2 linked regions of the Lonchura striata genome follow. The protein of the gene in region 1 binds, or shares a complex with, the protein of each later gene. Links are inferred from orthologs where the notes say so. Each region holds a gene or a part of one and is shown in the gene's direction. Other genes may lie near its edges.

Evidence for each region. Proteins that work in one complex are often made in the same cells at the same time.
Region 2: GTF2A1 (region 1) and POLR2L share a complex: the UniProt entries of both Homo sapiens proteins name them as parts of the TBP-based Pol II pre-initiation complex. The link is inferred for Lonchura striata from reciprocal best matches to the Homo sapiens genes GTF2A1 and POLR2L.

Annotation. Positions count from the first base shown.
Region 1 is NC_134608.1:20,386,073-20,391,626, forward strand, and holds the start of GTF2A1 (transcription initiation factor IIA subunit 1), read left to right. Parts: upstream 1-2,319; 5' UTR 2,320-2,460; coding exon 2,461-2,490; intron 2,491-5,554. UniProt on the Homo sapiens protein: TFIIA is a component of the transcription machinery of RNA polymerase II and plays an important role in transcriptional activation. TFIIA in a complex with TBP mediates transcriptional activity.
Region 2 is NC_134608.1:44,946,714-44,952,267, reverse strand, and holds the start of POLR2L (DNA-directed RNA polymerases I, II, and III subunit RPABC5), read left to right. Parts: upstream 1-2,124; 5' UTR 2,125-2,199; intron 2,200-2,411; 5' UTR 2,412-2,424; coding exon 2,425-2,519; intron 2,520-5,117; coding exon 5,118-5,226; 3' UTR 5,227-5,554. UniProt on the Homo sapiens protein: DNA-dependent RNA polymerase catalyzes the transcription of DNA into RNA using the four ribonucleoside triphosphates as substrates.

The DNA of each region.
Region 1 (5,554 bases):
CAACCTGATTCTTTCCTGGTAACATGCCAGTCATTTTGGCAGTTTTGTTTCACAGTGAAATACAAACTTTTTGCAAGAGACTACTACATTCCTATCAGATGTATCAGAAATCAAATGACACCAGCATCTCAATCAATCCCTGTAATTCATTCATCAGACCGCGAATTAGGGCTCCTGAGTGGGCAGATCTTCCTCAGTCCCATTGGCTGTGCTATGCAGGTGGAAAACTCCAGCAAAAAGGTGAGGTTGGACAGATGAGAATGGTAGAACTTTGTAAATTATACTATTATTTTGGCCAGGGCTTCAGCAATGTGCACAGTGAATAATGACTTAATCAGTGAACCCACTCTAAACCAACCAGTCACGTCCCTATACAAAGCCTGCAGTCCAGCAGGAAAGGTAGTGTGTATTCCTGTAGAAATGAAAGATTTTGAGGAACTGGAGAGGAAGGCCTCCTGTACCCACTATACCCACTAACAAACTCCTCCCCATCAAAAGATACCAGACAGGAGTTCCTGAACTTGTTACTGGGGTTAGCTAATAGAGAGGACTTCAGGCTGAAGGTTATTTAACAAATGTAGTTTACACCACCACAATTGTTGAAGGCATGTAACCTACTACGCCTTGTTTATGCCAAATCAGAATTCAACATTATTTTTCATTTATGCTTGAGTGGACTTCACACAAGTGAGTTATTGATGGAGATCTAAGGGATGAGTGGAGTTCAGAAGTTGTGCTAAGGACTGAGTGAAGGTGGGAGTGGTCAACACAGATGGAACAATACTCAGAGTTAAGAAGATTTTCCCATACGACATACCTCTCATAGGTTACCATAGAGAAAGAGGATAAAAAGGGAATGGAAGAATAAGATAATAAAAAGGGGAGAATGGAAGTTAAGCCAGCTGACAGAGCTCTCACAACCTCTTGCACAGATGGGAGATCCTGTTGCCACTGACTTGACGAAGAACTGTTAAAAGCAGCAACATTGCAGATCAGTAAGCACCTGTGGGCCTTGAGGAGACCCTGAGGAAGGACAGCTGTAAATGCTTAGGTTGTGCTGCCTCCCTCTTCCTGGCCACCTCTAGCCTCAGCTACTAGCCCCAGTGGTAGCACTCTCCTACAACAGTGGCACATAGGCCTGGGCAGCCTTTAATCAACTTCTTGTGAGGGAAAGCACCAGTGCTCACAATGCTGAGCAGGGTTCAGAACCCCTTCCTCGTGGGCCCAGAAGAGCCATTTCTGTCTAGTAGTAATTACTTGCAGTTTTTAATTGCCTTGGAGCAACCTCCTGGGGACCGAGGTGAGGCGTGTTGATTTCTGCAGAGCCTGGCACCAGCTGTCACCCGCAGCTTGGACAGCAGGGCCCGAGCGTGTGAGGGCTGCCAGCTCTTCTCCCAGCACTGTGCCCTGCTGCAGGCACCATAGCCCAGCCCTGGTCAACAGCAGCTGAACACAGTCAGGTGTGCCCTGGTGGCCAAGAAGGCTGATGGCATCTTGGCTTGTATCAGCCATAGTGTGGCCAGCAGGACCAGGGCATTTATCTTCTCCCTCTACTTAGCACTGGTGGGGCTGCACTTTGAATTCTGTGTTCAGTTCTGAGCCTCACTTCAGGGAGGACATCGAGGGGTTGGACCACGTCTAGAGAAAGGGAATGAAGCTGGTGAAGGGTCTGGGACACAAGTCTGATGAGGAGCAGCTGAGAGAGCTGGGGTTGTTGAGCCTGGAGAAAAGGAGGCTCTGGGGGATGTTTTTGCTCTCTATGACCACCTGAAGGAAGGTGGTAGCCAAGTGGAGATTCATCTCTTCTGCCAGGCAACCAGGGACAGGACAGGGGAGGTTGAGGGTGGCCATCAGGGTGAATTTCTTCACATAAAAGTGATTAGACACTGGAATAAGCTGCCCAGAGAGGCGGTGGAAGCATGATCCGTGGAGGTGTTTAAGGACGTGACACTTAGTGCCCTAGTGTAGCTGACACGGGGCTGTTCGGCCATTGGCTGGACTCCACGGTCTCGCAGGACTTCTCCCAACGAAGCGGTTCCGTTTGTCCGTCCCGCGCTCAGGCGGGCGGGGAGAGGCGAAGGCGCTTCCGCCTCGCTGGGGCCCGGCCGCGCCGCCACTTCCGCCTCGGTAGGTGTCATGGCGGCGGGGGCGGGGCGCCCGCGTGACGCCTCGGTCCCGGCGCGGTCTCGCGGCAGCTCTCGCGGTGCTTCGCGCCCCCCCCGCCCGCGTCCCCCGCTCGCCGGCCGCTCGCGCAGCGCTCGGCTCGCGCTATATAAAGGGGCGAGGCGGCAGCGCGGCGGCTGCAGCCCCGGGGCCGCGAGCGAGCCCGGCACAGGCCGCGGGGCCGCCCGTCAGCCGGGGCGGAACGCGCGGGCGCTGGGGGGACGCAGCCGGGCAGGTTTATTGTTTTAGGGGCGACTCCCCCCCCCGCGGTTGGGGGCGTCCCGGGGGGCTCGGGACATGGCGAGCTCGACTAACACAAACCCCGTGGTAAGGACCGGGTCGGGGGGCGAGGGGGGCCCCGGGGGCAGCGCGGGCGGAGGTGGCCGGCGGGGCCCGCCGCCCCCTCCCCCGCACTCCCTTCCCTCCCGCCGCCCGCCTCGGGCGGTCCCGGCCCCCCGGCGGGCAGGGGCGGCGGGGGGCGCCGGGCAGCCTCGCCCCCGCGGCGGCAGCCAACTTGTGGCGCCCGGCGGCGGGGAGAGAGGCGGCGGGAGCGGAGCGGCGGGGGCGCGGGGCGGCGGCCCGGGGGCGGCCCCGCGGGGAGGCCGGGGGTCCGGCGGGGAAGGGAAGGAAGGGCCGCCGGGCGGGGGGCGCCCGCCGCCGGCGGGAGGCGCCCGGGGAAGGGGCGAGAGCCGGAGCAGCGCGGGCGCTAACGCCCGCCCCGAGACGAGGGGAAGGGGCGCCCGAGCCAGCTTTCGGTTCTGCGGCGCTGGGGAAGCCCGCCTGGGCTCCGCTGGAGCCATTTTATGTTGCTTTGTAAGAAGGAGACGATGGTTGAAAAGCACTTATCCCACTCCGGCCGGATCGGCTAAGCCGAGCGAAAGCCCTCAACTCTGGCGAGCGAGGCAGTATTTATTTTAAAAAGAGAGAACGAAGAAAAAAAAAAAAAAAAACCGCAAAAAACCCCAAACCCAAACCTCTCCCCCGTTCCCTTCTCGTGCTTTCTGCACCTTGGCGGGTGGCTCGCTGCTGCACTTGTACTCACAGAGGTTTGCAACAAGCAGTCACACAGACCTGCGCTGCCACCGAGCCCCCCCGGCCGCCGCTCCGCTCCCCGGCGCGCCCCCGGCCGCGACCCCCGCCCCGAAGCGCTGGAGGAGACAAACCCGGCGTCCCGGCGGCGGGCTCGGCCCCCTTGTTTGTGGCTCTCAGATCCATCATGGCTTCCCCCTGCCTTTCTGCCTCCCTGCTCCTTGTGTTCCTCCTCCCTGTGGCTGCCCTGTTTATATAGCGCTATTGCCGCTCTCTAATATAGACTCTGCTAGGATGGGAAGGTGCTTTCCAGCCCCACGTCACCGCCTCTCCATTTAAACACCACATCAGCCTTTAAATAGGGAGCGAGCCGCGGAGCGCGGGCTGGGAGGTGCATGCGGCGGAGGCTGGGAGACGGGCGGCTTGTCCCTCGGATCCCGGCCGGCCTTGCCCATCGCTTTCTCTTCCCTCCGCGCCGCCCGTCCCCGTCGCCACCGGGCTGCGGAGCGGTGGTGCTTTGCGGGTGCGAGGGTGTCTCCTACCCGTGTAAATGAGCTTTCTTTTGCTTCTACGCATTGCACAAAGACGGTTTTCATCTGCTCCTGCATTTGAATCTGTCCTACCCTTTACCTTTTTTTTTTTTATTATTATTTTTTTTTTATTTTGCTTGGTTAATTTTGGGTTTGCTGTGGTTTTTTTTTTTTCGTTTATTTAAGGTTTGGGGTTTTTTGTCCTTGGCGTAGAGCTCGCACACGTTCCTGTGCTCCTGTAAAGTCTTCAAAGTAGCTGTTCTACTGCGTGGGGAAAGGAGTGTTTAAACGGTTCTTACCCAGTGTATCAAGGAGAGTTGTGGTATTTATTTTATGGCGCTTTGCCAAGATCTGACTACAGCTGTCTCCCCAAAAGTGAAGTTAACATTCAAGTTTTATGCGTGGGTCATGGGCTGCAGATGCTGCTCAATGATTTATGTGTGTTTCTGGTGCCTAAAGTGTACAAATATTTTATTGCATTCCAGGCAGAGCAGTGGTTTTGGAATTTTCACTACTTAGTTTCATTACAGTATTTGATATACTACAAAATATACAAAAGAAAATGCAAAGTGTCTTAGTTTTCTTTTCCTAATCTGAAATGTTAAGAGACCTGCTTGTGAGTTAGGTTTATGCAATTGCATAATATCTTTGATTTGATATTTTGTCAGCTTTTGTATCAGAAAATTTTAGGAAAGTAGTCAGCTGTTACACAGAGGGCAGTTACTCAGCAGGATGCACATTGAATGCGTGTGATTTGAATCTTCTTTAGTTTATGATCTTCTGTTTATGAACAGTCCTTCTGTTTATGCACTTATTTATTTGTGTTTTTATTGTAAGGAAAGGTTTTATTTCAGTGTAGTAAACTAGAGGCTTTTCCTCTCTTTCTTGACTGAAGTAGTACTGAATGGCAAAAACAATGCCTGTAAATATTTTTGATTAAGCTATTTACTAAGACTTGCTTTCTTCCGCTGTATTTCTGTGCTGGAAGTTCTTTTGAAAGGTGTCGATGTTTGGAATAGTAAAAGCCAAGTTTAAAATGAGCCTGCTTCAGATAGGTATGCTTTAGGCTAATTTTCAATTAAGCAGTAAAATCGTACAATTTTATTAAGTTTGGTCTCATTTAAGAAATGTATTATTTACGTAAAGGTTGCCAAAGATGAGTAGGAGAAATGCTGCAACTGTGACTTTAGGAAGCTGGACTAGGAGCCTAATGTGTCAATGGCATCACGTCAGCATCTGATCAAATCTGAATTGCTAGAAATCTGTTCTCTGTAATAAAGGACAAATATTAGATGTTAACAGTTATAGGTAGTATATGATTTTATGGGTGATAAAGGTAATATATTTGTAGAAGTCCACAACAATATAAAAAAAGCTAAAATCTTAATGCTTGCAGTGTAGATTATATATGTTACTTTGTTAATGCACATCTTTGGTGTAATTGTGACTAGAAGTAGTTACCTTTACAGTGTGCTCTGCTGGCTGCCTGTGGGCAGCTTACAGTGGTAACTGCACAGCTGGGAGAAAGATCAGCAATGTTTCAGAGAGAGCTGCAGAGGCAACCAGGAACAAACTGTTATCAAATGTACAAAGCATACTGTGGTCTGTCTCTCCTTAATGTCTTGGTTATTGGAAACCAAACTTGCTGAAATCCCAAGTGTTGTGATAATAATTACAGAGGATTGCCGTTTTTGTACCCTTGAAGCAGAAGGAATGTAGGAAGTGTAAGCCCCCAAAGGCATGTGGCATTTCTTAAAATAGCTTGCTGGTTGCTCCTGGATTTGAAGTGTGTGTGTAGCAGTGTCACCATACTCAAGAGTTTTCTTTTCAAG
Region 2 (5,554 bases), about 25 Mb from region 1:
AATTTCTAGGATCAAAGCAGCTACAGCCATGAAAGGCCTATTAGTTCATTAGGTCCCTCACCCAGCCAAAGCAGGTTACCCAGAAAAGACATGACAAAGTTAAAGTAATGGCGTGCAAACAAGCCAAGTACATTTTGCTTTGAAAAAAAAGACGCTAGGCAAAGTGAGATATGTGAACTAGGTCCAAAAGTTTAAGTTCAGTTTTGTTTTTAAGAAATAAGCGAGCACATTTCTACAAGGCAGCTATAAAATGCTAACCTATATCTAATGATGTGGCTCAGCTATGAAGCCGAGCTCCAGCTCCTCTTTCTCACTCTCAATTGCAAATTTCCATCTCTAAACACAAATGCCTTTTACCACACAGTTCAGTAAGAAAATTACTTTGGAGCCCTGGTACTGAAAATGCATCAAAGCACAATCTTCAAATTCTCAACTCCCCACCCCCTCCAGCCCCCGAAAGAAATGAAAGGATAAAAAGGAAAGACACGGTTTTGCTCCCACTGGCCTACAATAACAATAATGATCATAATCTAGAGATCGCAGGAGGTTGATCTACCCTCCATGCCAAGTCAATTCGCTCCATTCACAACTGCGCATAATTATTCCTGAGACTGCAAAAATTACTGTCTTTTCACTAGCAATAGAATTGTAAAAATGCTTTCAACCTCAAGTCCTTATTTATTAAAACAAAACTATTTGCTCTTTTACGGTTCATGTTAGGTCTGGCATTTCTGTGCAGAGGGTCAATAATCCAGTCGTTCAAAAAATAGTCACGAAAGACGTATTAACATAAGCTGTGCATTAAGACACAATTATTTATATGCCTGACATTAATGGCTCTGCGCTGTGCATTGTATCAACTCACAGATACTTTAGCTGGAAAATAACATCACTTTGGGAGAATTTCTGCTCTCCCAAGGACAATTAGCATAACGCTAACGCTGAAACGAGAGAGCAATAAGGATTGACAGAGGAATGCTTCATCCCAGAGCCTCCAGAACAGCGGTGCCCGTCCCCAAACTTTGTACCCATCACAGCACGCTTCCCTCCGCTGAGCACACACAGCCCGTGCCTAATGCTTCCCCAATGCTTAGATTAATGAAAAGCGAGTAAAGCAGTTTCGAGATGCACGATCCTCTGCCGCCAGAGCTGCCCGGCGCGGGTGCCCAGCGGGACCGGCCGCGCTGCCCCGGCCAGCCGCTGCCTGTGCCCCGAGCCGAGAGCTGCCCCCGCTGCGGGCACTGCCGCGGCAGCAGGCGGCACCGGGGCAGCGCGCACCGCTGGGAACCGAGCGGCGCACGGCTCTCAGCAGGGCGAGCAGCACCCCGGGATAACGGGACGGCGCCGCGTCCCGGCTGGCCGCGGAGTTTGGAAACTCTCGGCAACCCCGCAGCCAGCGCAGCGCCCGCAGCTCGGCCGGGGCTCGGGGGCGAGTGCCGTCAGGGAGACAGCGCCTGTCCGGGCTGCGCGGAGCCGCGAGCAGCCCGCAGCGCCGGGAGCGGGCTGTGCCGCCGCCTCCCGCCCGCGGGAGCCGCCGAGCCGCGGGCAAGCAGCCCCGAGCGACGCGGCTCCGCGATGCTGCGCTGACCGGGTCGCGACGCGGCTCCAGCGGCGGGTCCCACCGCCCCCCGTTCCCCTGCCCCGGGGGAGCGAAGGACACGCCGCGCCGGCGGGGCTGCCGCGGGGCGCCCCGGCTCCCCGTCAGCCCTGCCCGCCGGGATGCCCACCCTTCACCCTTCACCCCTCCGCCGGAGCGGGCGGGCGGCTGCCGCGCCGCAGCCACCAGTTGCGCTTCCCGCTGCGGTACCTCAGCCAGGACGGGATGAGAAGTCCGCCCGCTGCCGAAGCCCTCTCGCAATGCAACAAGTGCCCGCCGGGGCGCGGCGGGAGGAGGCGGCGCGGGGGCGGTCGCGGTGCCGCCGCTCAGCGCTCGGGGCGCCCCGGCTGCCACTCACCGCGCCGCGCGCCCGGCGCCGCCGCGAGCCCGCCCCCCCCCGCGCGCGCGCGCGCGCGCGCTCGCTCTCTTGGGCCGCCGGGGACGCCGTACCGCGGGCCGCTACCATCAAGTGCACAAGGGGGGAGTAGGGCCGCTCAACCCGCCCGCCCGCCGCGTCGGGCCGGCCGGCGGCGGCGCGGTTTCCCCCGGCCGGGCGCGGTGGTGGCGGCCGGCGGCCATCGGCAGCGGAGGAGGCGCGCGGGGTGAGCTGCGCGCGGGCCCGGGATCGGGATCGGGATCGGGATCGGGATCGGGATCGGCCGCTCACCTGAGGGAGCCCCCGGGCCCGGGCCCTGCAGCCCAGAGCCGCCGCCGGGCCGTGCGTGGCGGCGCGGGCAGCGCAGCCTCAGCGCGGCGGCGGAGCGCGGTGTCCGGGGCTCCGGCGGGGTCTGAGGCGGGGTTGGTGTCGTTGCAGCCACGGCGCAGAAATGATCATCCCGGTCCGGTGCTTCACGTGCGGCAAGATAGTGGGGAACAAGTGGGAAGCCTACCTTGGCCTCCTGCAGGCGGAGTACACGGAAGGGTGAGTTTGCTCTGTGTTGCTGGACTCGCGGCCTGTGTGAGGTACGCGGTGCATAAGGTCCCAGACGTGCTGCAGATCATCTCCCCCAACCTCCCTGCCAAGGCAGGGCCACAGGCACGAGTGCAGGGTCGCGGCGTCATAAAAGAGACGTAGGGAGGCTAAAAACTACAGGTACATTCTGAGGTTGTATAACCAAAGGTTAGAAATTGCAGTAGGCAACCGAGTACTTATTTCTCCACTGTATCTTTCAGAGCAGCAGTGTGGAAGTTGCTCAGTCTCCAAAATGTTCCCAAATATGTAACTCTGTGCACATTTCCTTGTTTCTTCCCTTCCCCTTTGATATACCCAATTTTGACACCAACGTGATCAGTTTCTTAAAGGGAGAGAAGAAAAAGAAGTGTAAGAAATGTTTAGCGGTTTTAGTTGTTGGGGTTGTTTGTTTTTTTTTTAAGCATTTTAATCCAGGGATGCTAACCTTATTTTTAAGTATTGATTTGCTGGAGAAAGAAGATTTAACCACTTTAGATACCCTACTGATAGTCCTAACAACTCTGTGGTAAGAAGTCTGTGCATCCTTTGCATAGCCAGTTTCTGCTAATAGTTCAAGGAGAGTTTTAACTATCCTGACACTACCTCAGGAGCTTTGAGAATAAAACTTGAGAAATACTTACATTTTCATCAAGTATGAAACAGAAAAAAATACCCATGGATGTTTGCAGCTCAGAGGAGTGAAAGAGAAATTTACGTGATGTTGAAGTAGAAAGTAGATGTTAAGTAGAAAGCAAATAATTTGGTTTGCATTCAAGTGGTTGGGGATCCTAACAGTTTTACAGGTAAGTTTATTTCATATATGGGGTTAAAAGCATTACAATACCATGGGTTGTTTTTTTTTTTTACTCCTACTACAGTTTACCAGGGCTTTTTTGATAGAGCTTCTGACATATATTCTAGGCATTACATTTTAATATTTTCCCTATCTTTATTATTCCTCTGCTTTTGTATAGGAGTTCTGTGTTGTCGTTGACAAATGCTCACTTGAAAGCAATTGTTGTGGTCACTGGCTTGATTCTGGGATGCTTGTTCAAACTAATGCAATTATGGTGTTGTAAGAAGTAGAGTTTACAGAGATCAAACAACTAAAATCTTACAGTGCAGTACTGGAATCACTGGTAATGGTGGCTTAAGAAATGGATGGACAAAATGGGAAAACTTGTCTAAAGAATCAGTAGTTGAAAAAGACATCCACGCCTTTCTGTTTGTCCCTTAAAAGTGCTCTTTTCCACAAGTCCTTGGAAGCTGGAAGAAAAGGCAAATGCAACTAAAGTTGTCTTATGCCTTTGGAAATTGTGATTAATGTTAGTATTTTGCATCCCTGATAACTGCATATGAGACTTCAGAACTCTCCAGATAGCTTTTAAAATTTACCTATCAACAGACATCAGATGCTTTTCTTCTCAAGTGTTTTGGAAAACTGTTACATCATGTGATGTTATTTATAAACATTCTTTAAAATGCCCCACAGTGTTGTTATACTCCTCTAAAACAAGTTTTGCAGGTGCTGTCCTAGAGCGAGCAGCCCTGCTGCACCATCAACAGTTGCAAGGACTGAGTGACATCAGAGAAGCTGCTGGAAGTTGGCTCCTGCAGTTAGCCTGTACTGCTTGAAGCCAAACAACACTTTACCATGGTCCAGCTTAGGCAGAGGCTTCCTTTCAGTCATTTGTATTTTAGAAAAGTATCCATTGGCCTATTCCTACAGGAGAATTATGAGTTCCAGGAAATTAAGTTTGTTTTGAGCAAACGCTTTATTGCACTGCATTATATCAGTATCATCATATAAACCTGAGATCAGTCATGTCTCGCAAATGTCACATTCTGAAGGAGTATCAGACTGGATTTATGGTTCATAGGTTGCAGCTAAAGATCGTGGTGGTATCGTGACCTTTAAGAGTCTGATAGCCACAGCCATGGAAAACACCCACATTGGTTCGGGCTAGGATGACTCAACATCCTCTACCCAAACAGAAGAATCTGGAGCAGTCACTCCAAAGGAATTCAGTGGAATTCAGTAAAACACTGATTTCTGACCAGTCTGCACCTACTTACTTGTATGTATGTGGGGGGCAGGTTGTATAACTGAGTGCCTTCTCCCATGGGAGCTGGAAAGGATTGTAGCCATCCTCAGAATTAACATCCCTATATGGGGGAGGTTGCCTTCCGAGTTATTTTAGTTTCTGTATATCTCACCTTTTTAGTGTGGCTCAGATCTTAAATTTATCTTGTGAAATAGACAAGAATCATCCTCAGTTTACAGAAACATGTTAAAACAGTGCCCTCTGAAAGCAGTGGCAGCTGGGGACCCTTCTCAGCAGCAGATGATGTGCTCTGGCCGGCTGGAGAATGGGCAAACACACTCAACAACACTTAAATGGAAAAGGGCATTAACAGCACATGCTGAATTTCTGTCTGTCTTTGAACTGCAAACAAATTTTCCTCTATGACTGAGCTCAAAGTAATCAGTGTGTTGCTTAGGAAACGCTTACAAGTAGTTCTGACTCACTTCATCTGTTATGTTTTTTAATTGTTGTTCGTTAATAGAGATGCCCTGGATGCCCTTGGCTTGAAGAGATACTGCTGCCGCAGAATGCTCCTCGCCCATGTGGATCTGATTGAGAAGCTTTTGAATTATGCACCCCTGGAGAAATGAGATGGAAAAAGCACTGTGCTGCAAGCCATGTGGAACATATCTCTAATTTAAACTTGAAACTAAACTGGACTTCAGGCAGTAAAGGATGAAAGCCAACTGTAGTGCAACCATCAAGAGATGTTTATCTTCTGGATAAAACACTGCCCCAAGCCACTAACCTCTTTCAAGGAAACAAAGGAATGATGAAGTCCACTTAAACAAGATCTAGAGATTAAAAGTTTGGATGCTGCTTCTTAAATCCGTGTTTGGAGTTGTGAACTTCTAGATACTTCTGCTAGTAAAACCAAATGTTTGTCCAAGTAGAAAAACTATTATATTTCATTAAAAT